2 linked regions of the Tamandua tetradactyla genome follow. The protein of the gene in region 2 binds, or shares a complex with, the protein of the main gene of each other region. Links are inferred from orthologs where the notes say so. Each region holds a gene or a part of one and is shown on either strand. Other genes may lie near its edges.

What was found.
Region 1: the proteins of PRKAA2 (region 2) and PRKAB1 are in contact, whole or in part, in a crystal structure (PDB 8BIK), measured with the Homo sapiens proteins. The link is inferred for Tamandua tetradactyla from reciprocal best matches to the Homo sapiens genes PRKAA2 and PRKAB1. Residues at the interface, in NP_006243.2 of Homo sapiens: Gly9, Val11, Lys12, Ile13, Thr21, Lys29, Lys31, Asn48, Arg49, Arg53, Asp56, Val58, Ile61, Lys62, Ile65, Gln66, Lys69, Val82, Ile83, Ser84, Thr85, Pro86, Thr87, Asp88, Phe89, Phe90, Met134, Met164, Ser165, Asp166; in NP_006244.2 of Homo sapiens: Pro79, Thr80, Val81, Arg83, Thr106, Ser108, Asn111, Val113, Ile115, Gln154, Val155, Asp159, Phe160, Glu161, Val162, Phe163, Ala165, Leu166, Asp169, Ser170, Lys172, Cys173, Pro186, Tyr187, His188, Gln189, Glu190, Pro191, Tyr192, Ala202.

The regions. Positions count from the first base shown.
Region 1 is NC_135331.1:19,839,209-19,848,925, reverse strand, and holds the start of PRKAB1 (5'-AMP-activated protein kinase subunit beta-1), read right to left. Parts: upstream 3,755-9,717; 5' UTR 3,436-3,754; coding exon 3,277-3,435; intron 1,059-3,276; coding exon 895-1,058; intron 1-894. UniProt on the Homo sapiens protein: Non-catalytic subunit of AMP-activated protein kinase (AMPK), an energy sensor protein kinase that plays a key role in regulating cellular energy metabolism.
Region 2 is NC_135328.1:164,519,090-164,527,964, reverse strand, and holds the start of PRKAA2 (5'-AMP-activated protein kinase catalytic subunit alpha-2), read left to right. Parts: upstream 1-5,071; 5' UTR 5,072-5,119; coding exon 5,120-5,213; intron 5,214-8,875. UniProt on the Homo sapiens protein: Catalytic subunit of AMP-activated protein kinase (AMPK), an energy sensor protein kinase that plays a key role in regulating cellular energy metabolism.

The sequences.
Region 1 (9,717 bases), on a different chromosome or scaffold from region 2:
GCTGGGTAGGCTGCCTTCTTGGCATATTTGCAAAACCAGTGATGGAACAAAACAAACATGCACATGTAAAAACCAAGAGGGTAGCTGCAGCATAAACATTTTTAACCAATTTAGACAAGTTGGTATAATGATCTAAATCTAGAAAAGCTCTAAGAAAGTAGCAATGGAAAAGGTTTTCCTGAAAAGTCACTTTGCTCAAATACTGGGGATCCCCATTTCTAATGCTAAAACTTCATCTAACAAGCATTCGTCCTTATCATGCTCGGAAAATAATACATGGCAGCACCAGATGCCAAGGAAAATGACAATACAAAACAAACAGTAACCTGCCTGTTTTACTCTTTGTCAGCCTGCCTTGGGCAGGGAGAGAGATCAGTTTAACAGGACACACAAATGTTCTCTAAAGAAACTAGCAAAACTACTGAAAAGAGATAACGGGAAACCTCTTTCACTTTGTTTTGTTCCTCTGACTCGTGACTGTGCCGAACCGCCCCTTCCTTCTCCAATGTTGCCATCTAAAAGGAGGCAGCCCACAGTAAACAAGCAGGCCTGCCTAGCAGGACACAACTTCTCCCTTCATTTTCATCAAGATTCCCAGGCCAGTGTTCTCTCCCCTGCACTAGGAGAATTCTCTCTGACAGAGAAGTTCTGCCTGACAAATATATAGCTGAATATGTGAAGTGAAAGATGTCCATGAAACAGAAACATTCTCAACAGAGAGATACTTTCTTCTAGGAAAGGGGTAACCTAAAGACAGCTTGGGTGTGAATGCTGAACCCTATGAATTATGACACAAGATTACTTTCCCATTCAACATCTATTAATAGAAACACCCTTTAGGAATAAGAATATCCGTGGATAAAACAAATACATAAACACTCCCCAGGCAATTACCTTCTTGTGAGGGGAAGTTTGCTCCAGTTATTGAAGGAACCAGATAAGTAAACTTCCTTTCCTCCCCCTGTCCATCGAAATACAGTTGGCCTAGCCTGAGTGGGAGCTTTATCATTCACTTCCAGATCATGCTGCCAGGCCAGGAATTCCTCCTTCTCTGGAGCCTGGAAACAAAGCAGTTTACTTAGGGACAGGAAGCCATGAGTGAGTTCCTTGCGGTAGACAATTACCCTAAATATTGAGAATTCATTTTAGAGAGGTAGCTATTACTACCCAGAATTACATTCAGACTCCATAACTGACTAGTCACGCCTCAGTTTCCCCATCTGCAAAATGGAAATAACAAAAATAACTATGTCCTGCAGTTGTTAGGAAAAGTGAGACAGCCCATGCAAAGTCCTCTGTACATGGTATCTGACACATGGCAGGTCTTTAATAATTGTTGGTTAAACTGCTGTTGTGATTAAAGAGGCATACATCAAAATGCTGGGGCAAGCTGAAAACACGCTTGGAAGAAGACTGCAATGAATCCAAAGCCAGCTTAATAAATGTCAGTTTCCTCTCAACTTAATTAAGCAAGATTTGCAGTGCAGGACAATTTATGAGGGACAATCCCAGAGCTGTCAATATGAAAACTGGCAAATCCAAATTCTGGGTAGGAAGGGAAAAGCCATTCCCTGAGTGCTGTCCAGGCAGTGGGGAGAAAAAGATGAGTAAGACCAAGACAGACCCCTCAAGAGTTATGCTAAACTATAATTTCATTGTGATCAGTACTATGTAACTGAGGTATGCACAAATTATTCTGGGATGAGGGAGAACAAAACACTTCTGACTCTGTTTGGGTTAAACAGATGTGATAACGGATCTTATTCTCCTAGTGAGAGGCCAAAGATTTTTAAAAAACAGGAGTTCCAGGCTGGGAGACTAATATGGAAGTCCTGCAGGTTTCCGGCACTTAAACTTATCTAAAAGATGGCTGCAATTGTTTGAGCTCTGATGAGATCTACAGATTAAAGAATACAGACTGGAATCACTTTATTACCAGGAAGGGATAAGTAACTGCAGCCAAAATGGTGGAATGGTGTAATTAAAAGAATCCATGACTTTTTTGGTACTTGGGGCACGCAACCCAGTGTGCCCACTACACGATTTAAGTAACTCCTGATGAAATGAGAACGAATAGTACTAAAAATCATTTTCCAAAGGTAATCTGTAGGCTAAACATTTTTTGCCGGAGTTGTGGGAGCAGCAAAAACTTGAAGAAAATAGTTATGGTACCTTAAATTCGCTTTTTGAAGCCAAAATTAGTTCTATGGGAAGGGATGTTAAGTTAGTGGAGAAATATGATTCCAAAGTTTGCTTTACACAAAGCTTTTCAGAAATGCAACGGATTCAGAAACTCAAGCCACAGGATGTAGGGCCAAATAAAAGTGCTTTATAGTTAGACTCAAAGCTAAGATCCATGTGAGGATATGAGGTAATTTTAACATGGTCCTCCAGCCCAATATCCAAGAAAAGACATGAATAAAATTGGAATGAGTTGCCCAGCAACTGGCCTTACGAACGACGATGATTAAAGTGCAGCCAGATACTAACAGAATATGTTGGGTGGGACGCCTTCACCCTTCCCAACTTTTTTTAAGGAACTAGTTTTTTGTTAATAGGCCATACCACACCAGTGATTAGCAGTAATGTAGCTGAAGCAGGACCGAGTCCTCTTGGGGGTGTTTAATAAATGAGAGCAATCGGCAGGAGGGAATCTAAGTTTGGTCTGCAAAATGTTTGCTTTGGCCTGTTTAAAATATTAAGTCTTGTTTAAACAAGCGAGAGAAGCTGAGCAGCTAGCTACCTCCCTCCTGCCCTTCAGAAGTCACATTATTTTTCTATGCTCACAGTACAACTAAACACCTCTAGCAACTGCAGTGAGTGGTTCAACCCTACTTTCCAATTTACTTGTGTGCTCTGGTTTACCTCCAAAATATACAATAAACTGCCAAACTTTTGCAGAAGCGCCAGTCCGCAAAAAGGCGAGGGAAGATTTTTCAAAGCTGTAAAATTAAACATACCTAGGAGAAAAGCGGACACTGGAGTTCAGTTACAGCTAGCCAGGCTCTTTTAATTAAGAATCTGAAACTGTCCCAGAGTTTGCCACTTAATGAGTTCCTCCTCCCTCGGGGTGACTTTTTAATATCGGTAATTAGACACAGGTTCCTAGATTGCCAAGAGCGCTCTCAGAGGACCATTTCACTTTTAGGTGCACAGGCTGAAGTACTTAACCTCCTCCCAGCCCATTACCCATCCGTCGGCGAGTTTCGGCGGGGCTGTGGGAAAGGGGGTCTGGTAGAGCGTCAAAGGAAACCTCATTTCCCCCAACCCTCGCACCTTAATTTCCTCGGAGTGGTAGATGTAGGCATCCTCAGGGCTGTCCATTAGGATCTTGGGCCTGTCCCCGTCCTTGGCCCCCCCCGAGCTGTCCCTCCGGTGCGTCTTATGGCCGCCCTGCCTTTCCAGGGCGGCGCGCTCGCTGCTCGTGTTGCCCATTGCTGGGCTCTGAGGGGGGCACCGGGGAAGCCGGGCGGAGCTTCACTCCAGGGAAGGAACGCGGCCAGGGGTCCCAAGGACCCTGGGGAAGGATTCCGGAGTCCCGCGGTACCACCAGCCCTCAGGAGAGGGTTCGGGGCTGGGGGCAGGTTCCGCTGGGTCAGCAGGGCTGGCGAGGTCTCGCACTCGCGCTTCCCCCTGCTCCGGGAACGGCGCAGCAAGCCCGCAAACCTACAAAACTTGACCACAAAGCACCAACACGATCCGAAACTTACCCAACAACTCCCCCACCTTCCTACTACTTCCGCTTCCGGCGCCTCCGCGACTCAGCCGGTCCGCGGGGTGGGGCCGACCGCGGCCGGCAGAGCGCGCGAGGCTAGCTTGACCTCACTTCCGCTTGTAGTTCCGTACTATGCGGCCGCGGGCGCCCTGAGGCGGCCTCCGCGGGCTTCGGAGGGCGCAGTCGCAGTCAGCCGCTCGGGGTCGGGTCTAGGATGAGGCTGCTGAGGGCCGGCAGGGGGCGCCCTAGTGCCCGGGCCTTTCGGGCTCCTCTCCCGGCGCCCAGTAGGGAGGCATTCTGTCTGCCCAGCTCCAATTAATTCGCCTCTACAGCCAAAGGGATCTTTTAAAAGTGCAAATCTAGTTGAGACCCTCTCCTTAAAGCCCTTTAAAGGCAATAACTCTCACTCTTAGGAGTGCATTAGAAGCACCTGATGTGCGTGTTTAAAATGCAAATTCCCTGGACGCTAATCCCCGGAAATTATGATTCAGCAGATCTGAAGTGGGGTCTGCATTTAATAAGCACTCCAGGTGGCACTGATGCAGGTCGCCCTGCAGTTGCTTAAGAAAAAGGGCAGATCATAAGATCTCTGGAAATTTCTTGTCTTGTGTCTCGGAAGTTGTCAAAAGCTGTAGTCAATATTGTATTTTTAACGAACTGATTGAGCAACCTTTTCAGTAATTTTAAAAGATATCTTGCAATCAATTTGGACACATCATTCTGCATAAAATGCATTCATTTATTAACATTTATAATTTACTGTGACCACTAAATGTGTGCACAAATTTAGTATTAACTTTGTAATCTTTTCAGTCACTCCCTCCCTTGTGGTAGGGTTTTGTTTAGTTTGTTTGCATGTATCTCGAAATGTTTTATAGTTGCTAGGCCTGACTGTGCAGTTGTAACTGAGAAGTTAGAATTTAAGGGATGATTACAATTACTGAATCATTATATAGATGTTCCCTTTTACTTTCTAGTATGTTAGACAGCAGAGGGAAATACCTCATATCTCTGACCTCTATGTAATCCAGCTGCCTTGATCTCTGATAATGATTTTATGACCTTTATCTTGTGCCCTTGTGATTGTAAAAATCTTGTGACTAACCTTCACTTGTACCCACTTTATTCAGTTATTGGACTTTAGAGTCTTGTGATCACTGACCACAGCTCCAAATGTTTACTAATGAAAAGTCTAGCGTCAGCCCAGAGCTAACCCACCCTAAATCCAAAGTTATCTTGATAACTGAAGCTGGATCTACCCAAAATAGGCCCACCTGACATGCGCAGTTGCTTAGACTTTAACTTGTAAGTCACTTAAACCTCATCATAATACTAAAAGTCACCCCCATCATATCAAGGCCACCTTTTCTTACATTCTGTGACTAAGCATGTAATCAATCTGTGCATGCTTAACAATCAGATCCCTTCTAATTACATCATCTGGAGCCATTGTGCTCATTATCCTAAAATTTGCCCATCTTTTAATGCTATAACACTATCAGAATTACTAAAGTCAGGGAGACAGATTTTTGGGCCAACAGGCCATCTGACTTCCTGCTTCGTGCCTTGCAATAATCTCTCTCTTTGAAACCCTGGTGTCTCAGGAAGTGGCTACTGAGCGCATAGGGCAGAGAACTCACCACCTTTCAATGGATAGAAAGGGGACTTTCACTTCTTAACACACAGTATCCACTGAATCGACATCTATTTAATATCTATAAAGTGCCAGGCATTGTGCGAAGTAAATGGGAACACAAAAGACAATACATGGTTCCCAGGAGGGGAATCTGACAGTATCTACCAAAATAAAAATGCACCTTCATTTTGACTCCTAACTTTACTTCTAGGAGACCTCTACAGACATGCATGCATGAAAATTATATTCAAGCAAGTGCATTTACAGCATCATCTGTAAGCCATATTACATAAGTCTAATTTGCACACTTTTTTCACATTTTAATATCCCTGATATTGGGTATTTCTTACAATTAACAGAATCTTAGATTTGATAAAATAAGGGAACGAAAAATTGCAAAATCTTAAAATTTTATCAGTAGAATGGCTAAATGTGCTAAATACAATCAATCATTTTATAGACTACTAAGCAACTTTTAAAAAGGAAAAATAGAGGAGGAGAGCCAAGATGGCGGCTTAGTGAGGTGTGGGATTTAGTTCGTCCTCCAGAGCAGCTAGTAAATAGCCGGAAAAAGTACAGAACAACTGTTGGGGCCACATCAGTGCCCAGACACACGCGTACCCCAGTCTGCACCATCTGGACCAGCTGCGAACCCCCCCAGAACCATGAGTCCCCAAAGCCGTGCCCCTCCCCCACATGCTGCTTCCCAGAGGGGAAAGGAAGGGGACTTTACTAGCAGCAGGGGCTGTCCACTTGAAAGAACCAGAGAAAGAACAGCAAACTGACCCCAAAGCAAGCAAAAGGAAAGAAGTAAATGAAATCGAGATCATGAAAACAATTGAGAAACAACAAAACCAGAAGTTGGTTCTATGAGAAAATCAGTAAGATTGACGGACCCTTAGCGAGGTTGACAAAAAGAAGAGAGAGGATGCAAATAAATAAAATCAGAAATGGAAGAGGAGACATAACCACTGACCTCACAGAAATAAAGGAAGTAATGAGAGGATACTATGAACAACTTTATGCTAATAAACTCGACAATGTAGATGAAATGGACAACTTCCTAGAAAGGCATGAACAACTAACACTGACTCGAGAAGAAATTGACGACTTCAACAAACAAATCGCAAGTAAAGAAACTGAATCAGTCACCAAGAAGCTCCCCCAGAAGAAAAGTCCAGGACCAGATGGCTTCACATGTGAATTCTACTAAACATTTCAGAAAGAATTAGTACCAATTCTGCTCAAACTATTCAAAAAAATTGAAGAGGAAGGAAAGCTACCTAACTCATTCTATGAAGCCAACATCACCCTCATACCAAAGCCAGACAAAGATATTACAAAAAAAGAAAACTACAGACCAAACTCTCTAATGAATATAGATGCAAAAATCCTCAGCAAAATTCTAGCAAATTGAATCCAGAAGCATATTAAAAGAATTATACACCATGACCAAGTAGGATTCATCCTAGGTATGTAAGGATGGTTCAACATAAGAAAATCAATTAATGTAATACACCATATCAACAAATCAAAGCAGAAAAACCACATGATCATCTTAATTGATGCAGAAAAGGCATCTGACAAAATTCAACATCCTTTCCTGTTGAAAACACTTCAAAGGATAGGAATAGAAAGGAACTTCCTCAACACGATAAAGGGAATATATGAAAAACCCACAGCTAACATCATCCTCAATGGGGGAAAAACTGAAAACTTTTCCCCTAAGATCAGGAACAAGACAAGGATGTCTTCTGTCACCACTGTTATTCAACATTGTGTTGGAAGTTCTAGCCAGAGCAATTAGACAAGAAAAAGAAATACAAGTCATCAAAATTGGAAAGGAAGAAGTAAAAACTCTCACTGTTTGCAGATGATATGATTCTATGTGTCAAAAACCCGGAAAAACCCACAGCAAAACTACTAGAGCTAATAAATGAGTACAGCAAAGTGGCAGATTACAAATCAACACTCAAAAATCTATAGTGTTTCTATACACTAGTAATGAACAATCTGAGAGGGGAATCAAGAAAAAAATTCCATTTATAATTGCAATCAAAAGAATAAAATATTTAGGAATAAATTTAACTAAAGAGACAAAAGACCTATACAGAGAAAATTGTAAGAAATTGTTAAAAGAAATCACAGAAGACCTAAATAAATGGAAGGGCATACCGTGTTCATGGATGGGAAGACTAAATATAAACATGTCAATTCTTCCTAAATTGGTTTACAGATTCAATGCAATACCAATTAAAATCCCCAAAACTTACTTTTCAGAAATAGAAAAACCAAATAACCAAATTTATCTTGAAGGGCAGGGTGTCCTGAATAACTAAAAGTATCCTGGGAAAGAAAAATGAAGTCGGAGGTCTCATGCCACCTGACTTTAAGGCGTATTATGAAGCTACAGTGGTCAAAACAGCATGGTACTGGCATAAAGACAGATATACTGACCAATGGAATAGAATAGAGTGTTCAGATAGAGACCCTCTCATCTATGGACAATTGATCTTTGATAAGGCAGTCAAGCTAACTTACCTGGGAAAGAATAGTCTCTTCAATAAATGGTGCCCAGAGAACTGGATAGCCACATGTGAAAGAATGAAAGAGGCTCCATATCTCACACCCTATACAAAAATGAACTCAAAATGGATCAAAGACCTAAACATTAAATCTAAGACCATAAAACTGTTAGAAGAAAATGTAGGGAGATATCTTATAAATCTTATAATAGGAGGTGGTTTCCTAGACCTTACACCCAAAGCACGAGCATAAATAAATGGAAACTCCTCAAAATTAAATACTTTTGTGCATCAAAGAACTTCAACAAGAAAGTAAAAAGACAGCCTACAAAATGGGAGACAATATTTGGAAACGATATATCAGATAAAGGTCTAGTATTATATAAAGAGATTGTTCAATTCAACAACAAAAAAACAGACAAACCAATTACAAAATGGGCAAAAGACTTGAACAGACATTTCTCAGAAGAGGAAAAACAAATGGCCAAAAGGCACATGAAAGGATGCTCAACTTCCCTGGCTATTAGGGAAATACAAATCAAATGCACAATGAGATATCATCTGACACCCACCAGAATGGCCATTATCAATAAAACAGAAAACAGCAAGTGCTGGAGAGGATATGGAGAAAGAGGCACACTTACCCACTGTTGGTGGGAATGTCAAATGGTACAACAACTGTGGAAGGCAGTTGGGCAGATCCTCAGGAAGCTAAGTATAGAATTGCCATATGACCCAGCAATACCATTGCTAGGTATCTACTCAGAGTACATGAGGGCAAGGACACAAACGGATATTTGCACACCAATGTTTATAGCAGCATTATTTACAATTGTCAAGAGATGGAAACAGCCCAAATGTCCACCAACAGGTGAGTGGCTAAACAAGCTGTACTATATACATACAATGGAATATTATGCAGCTGTAAGACAGAATAAATTTTATGAAGTATGTAACAACATGGATGGACCTTAAGGACATTATGCTGAGTGAGATTAGCCAGGAACAAAAGGACAAACACTATTTGGTTTCACTGATATGAACTAACATTAATGAATGAACTTGGGGAATTTCAGTTAAGAACTGAGACCATCAAGAGATAGAAATAGGGTAGATATTGAGTAATTGGAGCTGAAGGGATACAGATTATGCAACAGGACTGATTGTAAAAATTCAGAAATGGATAGCACAATATTACCTATCTGTAACACAATAATGTTGGAACACTGAATGAAGCTGAATATGAGAATGATAGAGGGAGAAGGCCTGGGGGCACAAATGAAATCAGAAGGAAAGATAAGACGATAAAGACTGAGATGGTATAATCTAGGAATGCCTAGAGTGCATAATGATAGTGACTAAATGTACAAATTTAAAAATGTTTTGCATAAGGAAGAACAAAGGAATGTCAATAATACAAGGTGTTAAAAATAGATGATAATTCATATTTTAAAACTTTAACTTATGTGTGAGACTAAATGTTCTAGTTTGCTAGCTGCCGGAATGCAATATACCAGAAATGGAATGGCTTTTAAAAGGGGGAATTTAATGAGTTGCTAGTTTACAGTTCCAAGGCTGAGAAAATGTCCCAATTGAACCAAGTCCATAGACATGTCCAACTTAAGGCATCTGGGGAACGATACCTTGGTTCAAGAAGGCCAACAACGTTCAACGTTTCTCTCTCAGCTGGAAGGGCACATGGCGAACTTGGCGGCGTCTGCTGGCTTTCATGTGGCTCTACCAAAAGGGACTCTCTCCAAAATGTTTCCTCTTTTAAAGGATTCCAGCAAGCAACTCCACCTTCAGTGGGTGGAGACACGCCTCCATGGAAATGATCCAAT
Region 2 (8,875 bases):
ACTGAATCTCAAACTTTTTTTTTATTTTAAACTGGAAAACAATAACCGAAACACCTCATCATGAATCCATAAGGTCCTTGTACCGGTCTGAATCTCTTGTGGACTCCAGAAAAGCCATGTCCTTTGATTCTCATTCAATATTGTTGGGTGGGAGCTTTTTATTGTTTCCATGAATCCAAATGTGTGTGGTAACTTTTCATTAGATGGGTTCCATAGAGATGTGTCTCTACCCATTTAAGGTGGGATTCCTTACTGGAGCCCTTTAGGAGGGAACCATTTTGGAAAAAGCTAGAGAGCCCACGCAACCAGAGACCTTTGGAGATGAAGAAGGAAATGCCTCCAGGAGAGCTTCCCGAAACAAGAAGCCTGGAGAGAAAGCCAGCAGATGTTGCCATGTTTGCCATGTGCCTTTCCAGTTGAGAGCAAAACCATGAACATCATCAGCCCTCTTGAACCAAGGTATCTTTCCATGGGTGCCATAGAAGGGACATTTCTATAGCCTTGCTTTAATTTGGACATTTTCATGGCCTTAGAACTGTAAACTTGCAACTTAATAAATTCTGCTTTTTAAAAGCCATTCTGTTTCTGGTATATCACATTCTGGCAGCTTGCACACTAGAACAGCCCTACATGTTCTGGTTCATATCTACCTCCAAACTCACTAAAAATGACTACTACACTGAGATGTGAAATTAGCTTTTTATTTAGTATGTATTAATTTTGATTTCTCTTTTGAAGTGTTCCTCCCTAAATTTGTGTTCTTTGATTTTCTACTAAGTCACCCTTTTCTTTATTTTAATTCAACAAACATTTTTGGAATGATGGACCAGGTTTCACTAGCTCTGAGGGACATCAGATATCAGATAGGGTATGAATACATTGTTCATGAACATATGTATATTTCTTATGCATATGTTTATAAATATATAGAAAAATATGAAAATACATATAAAATATTAATATAATAATAATGTTTGCACATATAAATAGAATTGACAAATGCTATAGTAGCTATGTGAGTGTAATGGGAACCCTAAAGAGAAACATATAATCAAAAACTTGATTAGAGAAAACATTGAATTATCTTTCTATTCTCTCTATAAAAATATTACAAATATCAAGAGGAAATCAAAGATGATTGGCAAAAAATGTAGAGAACAAGTATTGTAGAGGTATGTTGATAGTAGTTAATTGATAAAAATATTTTTCTGGATTTGGAGATGTTTATAAAATCCGTTGTTTAAAAATCTGTAGATTGTTGTGATTTTTTCTTCACATAAATACTCACTTGCATACTTAGTTTTGTATTTTTTCCTTAAACAAATCCCCCAAAGTGTATAAACACCAGGTAGCAGATAACCTGAATCCACTTGGGTGCCTACAATTTACTAGGCACTGTTCTGGGAGCTAAGAATTTATCAGTGAATATAACAGAAAACCCCCTCTCCTTGGGAATGTAACATTTTAGTTGTGGGGAATCACACAAAACAAAAACATAATAAATAAGCTAAATAGCATATTAGAAAGTGACGACAACTGTAAGCAGTTGGGGAGAGTAAGGGTGATGGAGCACGCAGGCCCTTGGGTGAGACGAAAGTGTACTTTTAAATAGGGTGTTCAGAATTCACTTCACCTAGATGACTCAGAGCAAAGAAGGAATTGGTTATTGATAATATCAAGGGAATCTAGTATAGTGTTTTAGATATTCGGATGTCATTATTCTCCTTATTCAGGCCCTGCTTTGGAACAAAGTAAAATTACCCCAAAGGCTCTGTTTTAGTTTGCAAATGCTGCTGGAATGCAATATATCAGAAATGGGATGGCTTTTAAGAAGCATGCTTATTTAGTTACAAGTTTACAATTCTAAGGCCATAAAAATGTCCAAACTCAGACATCCAGGGAAAGATACTTTGAATCAAGAAAGGCTGATGGCATCTGGAACACCTCTATCACTGGGGAAGGTACATGGCTGGCGTCTGCTGGTCTTTTGGCTTATGGTTTCAAAAGCTTCCCTGGGGGCATATTCTTTCTGCATCTCCAAATGTCTCCGTCTGTGTCAGCTCTGAACTTTTCTCAAAATGATTCCCTCTTAAAGGACTCCAGCAAGTGGATTAAGGCCCATTTTGAATAGGTGGAAACACATCTCCATGGAAACCCCCTAATCAAAAGTTCCCACCCACAATTGGGTGGATCACATCTCCATGGAAACAACTTAATAAAAAAAATCCCACCCAAACAATAGGTTAGCCCCCATAGGACTGGATTAGGAAAATGACCATGGCTTTTCTGGGGTATATAACCGTTTCAAACCAGCACAGGTTCAGAGGAGGATAAAGTTGTAACAGTTGGGCCAGGGTTAAGAAATGAACAGCTAGCTGGGGCATCTTAGAGACTGGTACTAAACAATATAGGGACACTAAAACATTCCTAGGAAATAATGAAGATTGTATTTGCTAGAAAGTCTAGAGGGTTAGACCATCAAGGGATATAGCTCTTTAGGAAATTTGGTCTGATTAACTGCTGGGTTTTGTTTTGCTTGCAGAGTGAAGCAAATATGGAATCACAGCTGACATATTCAGGGCAATACAACAAAAGCTGACAACGTTCACAAAGAGTTGTCCTTTTTCGCCTTTCTTCCCTGCTTCACATTCAATTTTTCTTGTAAATAAGGATAACAACTAAAAAAAAAACTATAAAAAATTTTTTTATACCCTGTTATTTTTATACCCTGTTATTTAAAGGGTATATTATTTGCATACCCTAGAAATAACAAAAATAGTAGAATGGTACTGTTGTGAAAATGTAAAACTTTCTTAGACCACATGTGCTTTTTGATAAGTAGCTATGAGTAGAAAAAAAAGGACAAGTTAGAGCTGGATAGGAGTTCTGACTCTGACCCTAATGCGTTCAGCCTTTCGCAAATCATAAAGAAAAAAGCTCGGTGTTATAAAATGAGGATAATAAGTTTCTTTTATGACAATTAAATGAGATAGTTTTGTTTAAATGTGCTTTTTGAATCAACAAAGTCCCATATACATTTTTGGTATAACAATAATGCTACAAGGTTGTCCATAGTAGCTTTAGTATGATCACAGGTATGAAGTATGTAGTAATGTAAGTTATAATTATCAACAAATAGTTAATGACAGCACAGAATACTATAAAAATCCCATTTATAGTCTGTTCATGCACATTAAAAGCAACCTAAATGGGAAGACTTTTCAACATCTTTTAATGGGATGTTAAAAGAAGAGAGACAAATATTTTATCTTAAAAGCAGAATAGGTATTTTGTTTTCTTACTCACTTCAGAGAATACTGAAGGAGTGACTTCACCAAATGAAAATTCAGCATCCAAAAAAAGGTCTATTTTTTTTTCCAAATTGCCACCTAAGTAGAGTGATTTTTAAATGACAGTTCTTACTGACAAGAAAAATGATCTGAGGAATGAAGGAAAATAGCCTCTGTTCAACAGCTGTGCTACCTATAGTTTATAAGCTGTGATCATTTTTCATCAGATTGTTTTGGGTGTTTATATAAAAATGAATGTATGAATGTTTGTCATTTGTATTTTTAGCACTTCTCAGAAAGGAAACTTTTCTTACATCCTATTCTTTCATAGGATGTATTCATCACACATATAAACAGTGTGATAGACTTCCTGTATGAGGAATGTGACCTTGAAACCCTAAGGTCATATACATTATAAATGTTCAACTAATCGTCAGTAATTTATTCCCAAACAGCAAATAATCTTAAATACTGAAAGATAGGACAGTACTTAAGGATGGAAGAAATGGAGGAAGGAAGAGATAATTACTTCATTTCCCAGTTCTCTGTCAGTCTTGAATACTCTCTTTGGGTATCATGCTTCTGGTTTCCTTTATCATTTTTTTTTTCACTACCGCCTTCATCACATTTATTCTTTCTTTGATTTGTGCCCTTATGCTGCCCTTGCTCTTCCAAATTTGTTTGTCCCTTATGTATTTTACATTCTATGCTCACTACATTCCTTTTTTCATTTCTTTCACTATTTTCCCCTTGTAAAGCTCTATCACATACTATTCCTGTACTATATATTTACAGAAATGTGCTAAAATACAATCGAGGAAATATTTGTGCTTCTGATTTATTGGAAAATTGTGCAAATTAAAATTTAGAGCTCTGGAGGAGAGGATCCCTTCCATTCTTAAAATCACTGAGAATTACGAAATATATAAAGGAGGACAATTGAAGAGAGCACAGAATTGGGTTCTCTTTGTACCATGACCTGTATCAAAAGTCAGCCAGTCTACGCCTAGAGAAAACTTTCCTTCTGCTCTCCTCAAACTGCCCTTTGATCAAGGCCCTTCCCACCACCTCCTTTGCGCTCCCCGATTTCCTTATTCCCCCATTTGTTTACATCCCTCCCTCCCCACAATTTGGGCCTGTTCCTTTTATTTCACTTCTACTTCCACCATTCCCTAGGATTCTTCCCAAATCTCTCCCTCACACTTTCACTCTCTTCAGTTTTCCCTACGGGCGCCCTTCAGCCCTAAAAGGCCACTGACCCTCAGGTCCCTCCCCCCACTCCCGGGTGTTGCCCCCTTCATCCACTGCTACGCACTACTGGCCGGCTTTCTTTTTCTTTTTCTTTTTTTTTTTTTTACATTGGCAGGCACCGGGAATCGAACCCGGCAAGCATTCTTACCTGCTGAGCCACCGTGGCCCGCCCCTGGCCGGCTTTCGGCCCGCCTTTGAACTCCCCACACCCTGCTCGGAGCCCTCCCTCAAGTCCCCAGCGCCGGTTCCCTCCTCGCCCGGGGGAACGACCTTCGCCGCCTAGCCGTTTCGCCGCCTCGGGCTCAGCGCTCACACACCCATCACGCCCCGGGCGTGGGCACCTCACCTTCTCCCCTCCGCAACTCCACGCGCCCAGCCCATAGACTCCGCGCTTCCCACGGGCCCCGGCCCACTTCCAACCCCTCCTCCCGGGACCCGCGCCCGCTCTGCCAGCCGCGGCTCGCCGCTCGGCGTCTCCCCGACGCCCCCCTCCCCCCCGCAGGTCCCGCTGCACTGTGGGTAGACGGCGGCGGCGTCCGCGCTGAGCAGCCTGCGGAGCAAGGCTGCGCGCGCCGAAGATGGCTGAGAAGCAGAAGCACGACGGGCGGGTGAAAATCGGTCACTACGTGTTAGGGGACACTCTGGGCGTCGGCACCTTCGGCAAAGTGAAGAGTTGAGTATCCCACCGAGGCCGTGGCGGGGGGCAGCCTCACACGTGGGAGGCCGGGCAGAGCCGCGGGAACCCCGGGCAGGCACAGGCCCTGAAGGCAGGTGGAGCGGCCGGGGCCGCGCGGAACCCAATGGCTCCGGGGAGGTGGCGCCACCGCCTCCCGAAGCAGCAGCGGCTCGAACCTGGTTGGGACCTGGTGAAGAGGGGTCGGGGTGTGGGCTGGGGGACAGACTTTCCAGTGGTCTGGAGCAAGGTGCTCTTTCTTGGAACTCAGTTTTCCTCTTCTGTGAAACTGGGAGTTGGAGCAAGAACTGTAAGGTGCCTTACAGCTCCGAGACTGTTTGGATAGGACTAGGGAATAATACACGTTACTGATTATTGTTTCGAATCCGTTCCAGGTACCCTGTTTTAGGTGCTTAACATGTGATGGTCATTTCGTCTTTACAGCAGTATGATGAGACGTTATCCTCACTGGAAAGAGGGCGAAAACTCGGATCCCCAGAGGTTTAGTAGAATGCCCAAGGTCACACAAAAATTGGCAGAAGGAGAGGATGTCTAAGATGTCTCCCAGTTCTGGCATTGCTGGGAGGTCCCTGCCACCTCCAGATTCTTTAATATTCCCCGAGCCTCTGTTGGTGGGACTGGCTGTTTAGGGGATGCCTCAGGGACCAAGAGATGGGGAATCTCCCGGACGTGTGAAATGCTGGAATGCAGCTGGGTTGGGTCTGGGCGTAAATTAGAACCGCGAGGTCTGAAGGTCGATTGGTGTGTATAAAATGATTCTGGGAAGGCTTCTTGAAAGGGGGAGAGAAAGAGGTTCCTCGCTGTTGGACTTTGGAGGATTTGGGACTGAGAGTGCCAGAGCTGCTCAAGCAGATTCTACTGAAGTCTGTTCTCATGGTGATAGGGTCCCACTTTGGGGGTAGAACTGGTTCCTTTTAGAATTAATATTGAACTTTCTTTCCCCCACCCCGTTTATAAGAGTCACCTGGGATTTAATAACGTGCCCTCTCTCCGAAACCAGAACCAGTTTATTAATAGTTCTTTGTTACAAACACAAAATTATTAGTGAAATGTTGGCTTTTTTTTCCCTTGTAGAAATGTTGGGAAGCAAAATGGAGTTTTTATTGTGAGATCTCTATTTCCTAGTAAAAATTCATATTGTAATCTGAAGTCCAGGCTGCTAAATAGGTGGTAGAGGCTCCTTGCTGATGAATTCCTGTTGCCTTCATATATCTGATACTCATTCATTTCTTCAGAAAACATTTATTGAGCATCTACGAAGTGCTATATACTGTTAATAGGCAGTGGGATACAGCAGGAAAGAAACCATATACAAATCCCTGTGTTCATGGAGCTCACATTCTTCTAGGAGGGGAAGGCAAACAATAATCAAAATACATCCGTTAAGTATACAATATGTTTAGTGTTATTGAGAAAAACGAGGCAGGGAAGGGAGGATAGGTAATTTTGTGGGATTTGCAGTTTTCAGGCAAAACCTCACAAACAAGGTCGTGGTTGAGTCAAGTTCTAAAGAAGGTTGCAAAATTCTTTGAAGTTCTATTAAGACTGTGAATCCTAGATTATTTTGAAAAACCTCATAGAGTGGATAGTTAGGAGAATGTATTTAGAACGAATATAGGAAGATCTGGAGTTGTATTTACACCTGTAATGTTACTGAGGACTATTGTATTATAACATTATACAGTTACTCAAGCAAACAACTCCTTTGCCATCTGGACTTGTAGACTCCTGAAGTTATAGAACTTACTGTGTACTTTCAAATTGTGCTGAAGTTTTTGTCTTTTTAAAATTCCTACACTGTAATCTGAATGTAGGGTAGGCCATCCATCAGCCCCATTGTTAAGGGGCAACTTAAATTTCTTTTGTATATGCTCTTAAGCTGCTGCCAGGCGTTAGCTTTTTAAATTATAAGTCAAGAGATGGAGCTTTGCTTTTTGAGAAATCCTTTTCCCGAAGAACTCCTTTCTAGTGAATAACTAGTTGGAGCAGGTCTCCTAATACTGTGAGAGCCTCTCTAAAGTTTTCCTGTGGCTTCTCATCCAGGATTAGAAGCAATACAATGGTTTGTTTAATAAAAATTACAGAAATTACTACAATTTTAATCATTTAGCTCAAGAGACAAGTAAAACAAAAGCACATGCAACTATTAAGACAGTTTTTATTGAGGTAGGTATATTTTACATATAAAATTCTTCCGTATCAAATGTACAATTCAGTGATTTTTTAGTAACTTCACTGAGTGGTGCAAACAATGTAAATGTATTTTAGAATATTTTTACCCCACCCTCAGCCCCTCTCCCTCCCTCAGCCACAGGGATCACTAATTTATTTTCTGTCTATGTGCATTTGTTTTTTTCTAGACATTTTATATCAATGAAATAATTTAGTATGGGGGATGCCTGTGTCTAGCTTCATTAACTTAATATAATGCTTTTCAGATTCATGCATAATGTAACATCTATTAGTAGTTCATTCCTTTTTATTGCTGAGTAATATTCTATTGTATGGCTACACCACATCTTGTCTCTGCATTTGCCAGTAAATGGACATTGTTTTCAGTTTGGAGCTATCAACATTTTCATGCAAGTCTTTGTGTAGACTTATGTTTTCATATTTCCTGGGTAGATATCTAAGAATGGGATTGCTGGGTTATATCATAGGTTTATGTTTAACTTTTTGAGAGACTGCCAAATTGTTTTCCAAAGTGTTGCACCATTTTATGACCCTGCCAACAATATATAAGGGTTACTATTTCTTCACATCCTTTTCAATATTTGTTATTGTTTGTCTTATTTATTATAGCCATTGTAGTGGGTATGAAATGATATTTCATTGTGGCTTTACTTTGTATTTCCCTAATGACCAATGATGTTGAACATCTTTTCATGTATCAGTTAGCTCTTCTTCATGTATCTTCTTTGGTGAAATGTCTGTTCAGATCTTTTGCTTATTTTTTCATTGGATTCTTTGTCTTTTTCTTATAAATTGAATTGTTAGAATTCTTTGAAAAGTCTGAATACAAGTCCTTTATTGGATGTCTTGCAAACATTTTCTTCCAGTCAGTTTGTATTTTATTTTCTGCTGGTGCCTTTTGAAGGATAAAAGTTTTGAATTTTGGTAAGGTGCAATTTTATCAGTTTTTTCTTTTATGGACGAGGGCTTTGGTGACATGGCCAAGAATTCTTTGCCTAGCCCAAGATGTCAGATTTTCTTGTAAACTTTTCTATTGTTTTACCTCTTAAGATTAAGTCTGTGTCCATTTTGAGTTGATTTTTGCATATGGTGTCAGGTGATGTTCTAAGTTCAGCTTTTTGTTACATGAATATCCAATTGTCCCAACATCTTTTGTTGAAAACACATGCATTTTTTATTGCTATAGATTTAAATCTTGTAAAATCAGTTTCTATTCAAAATCTTAGTAGGTGACTTAATTTTATATGGCTAAAAGCACTTGGGAATGGGGGAATGAGGAGCATTTTATATACTGTTACATTTCATCCTCTTTTAACTGTTATGTCAATTATAGAATTTGAAAATTTAACTTAAATTGTTGATGTATCATTTTATGAACCAAAGTCAGTTACAATAAGCCAGAGTTGGAAATGGCTTAGTTTTCATTTAAAAACACTATCGTCACGTT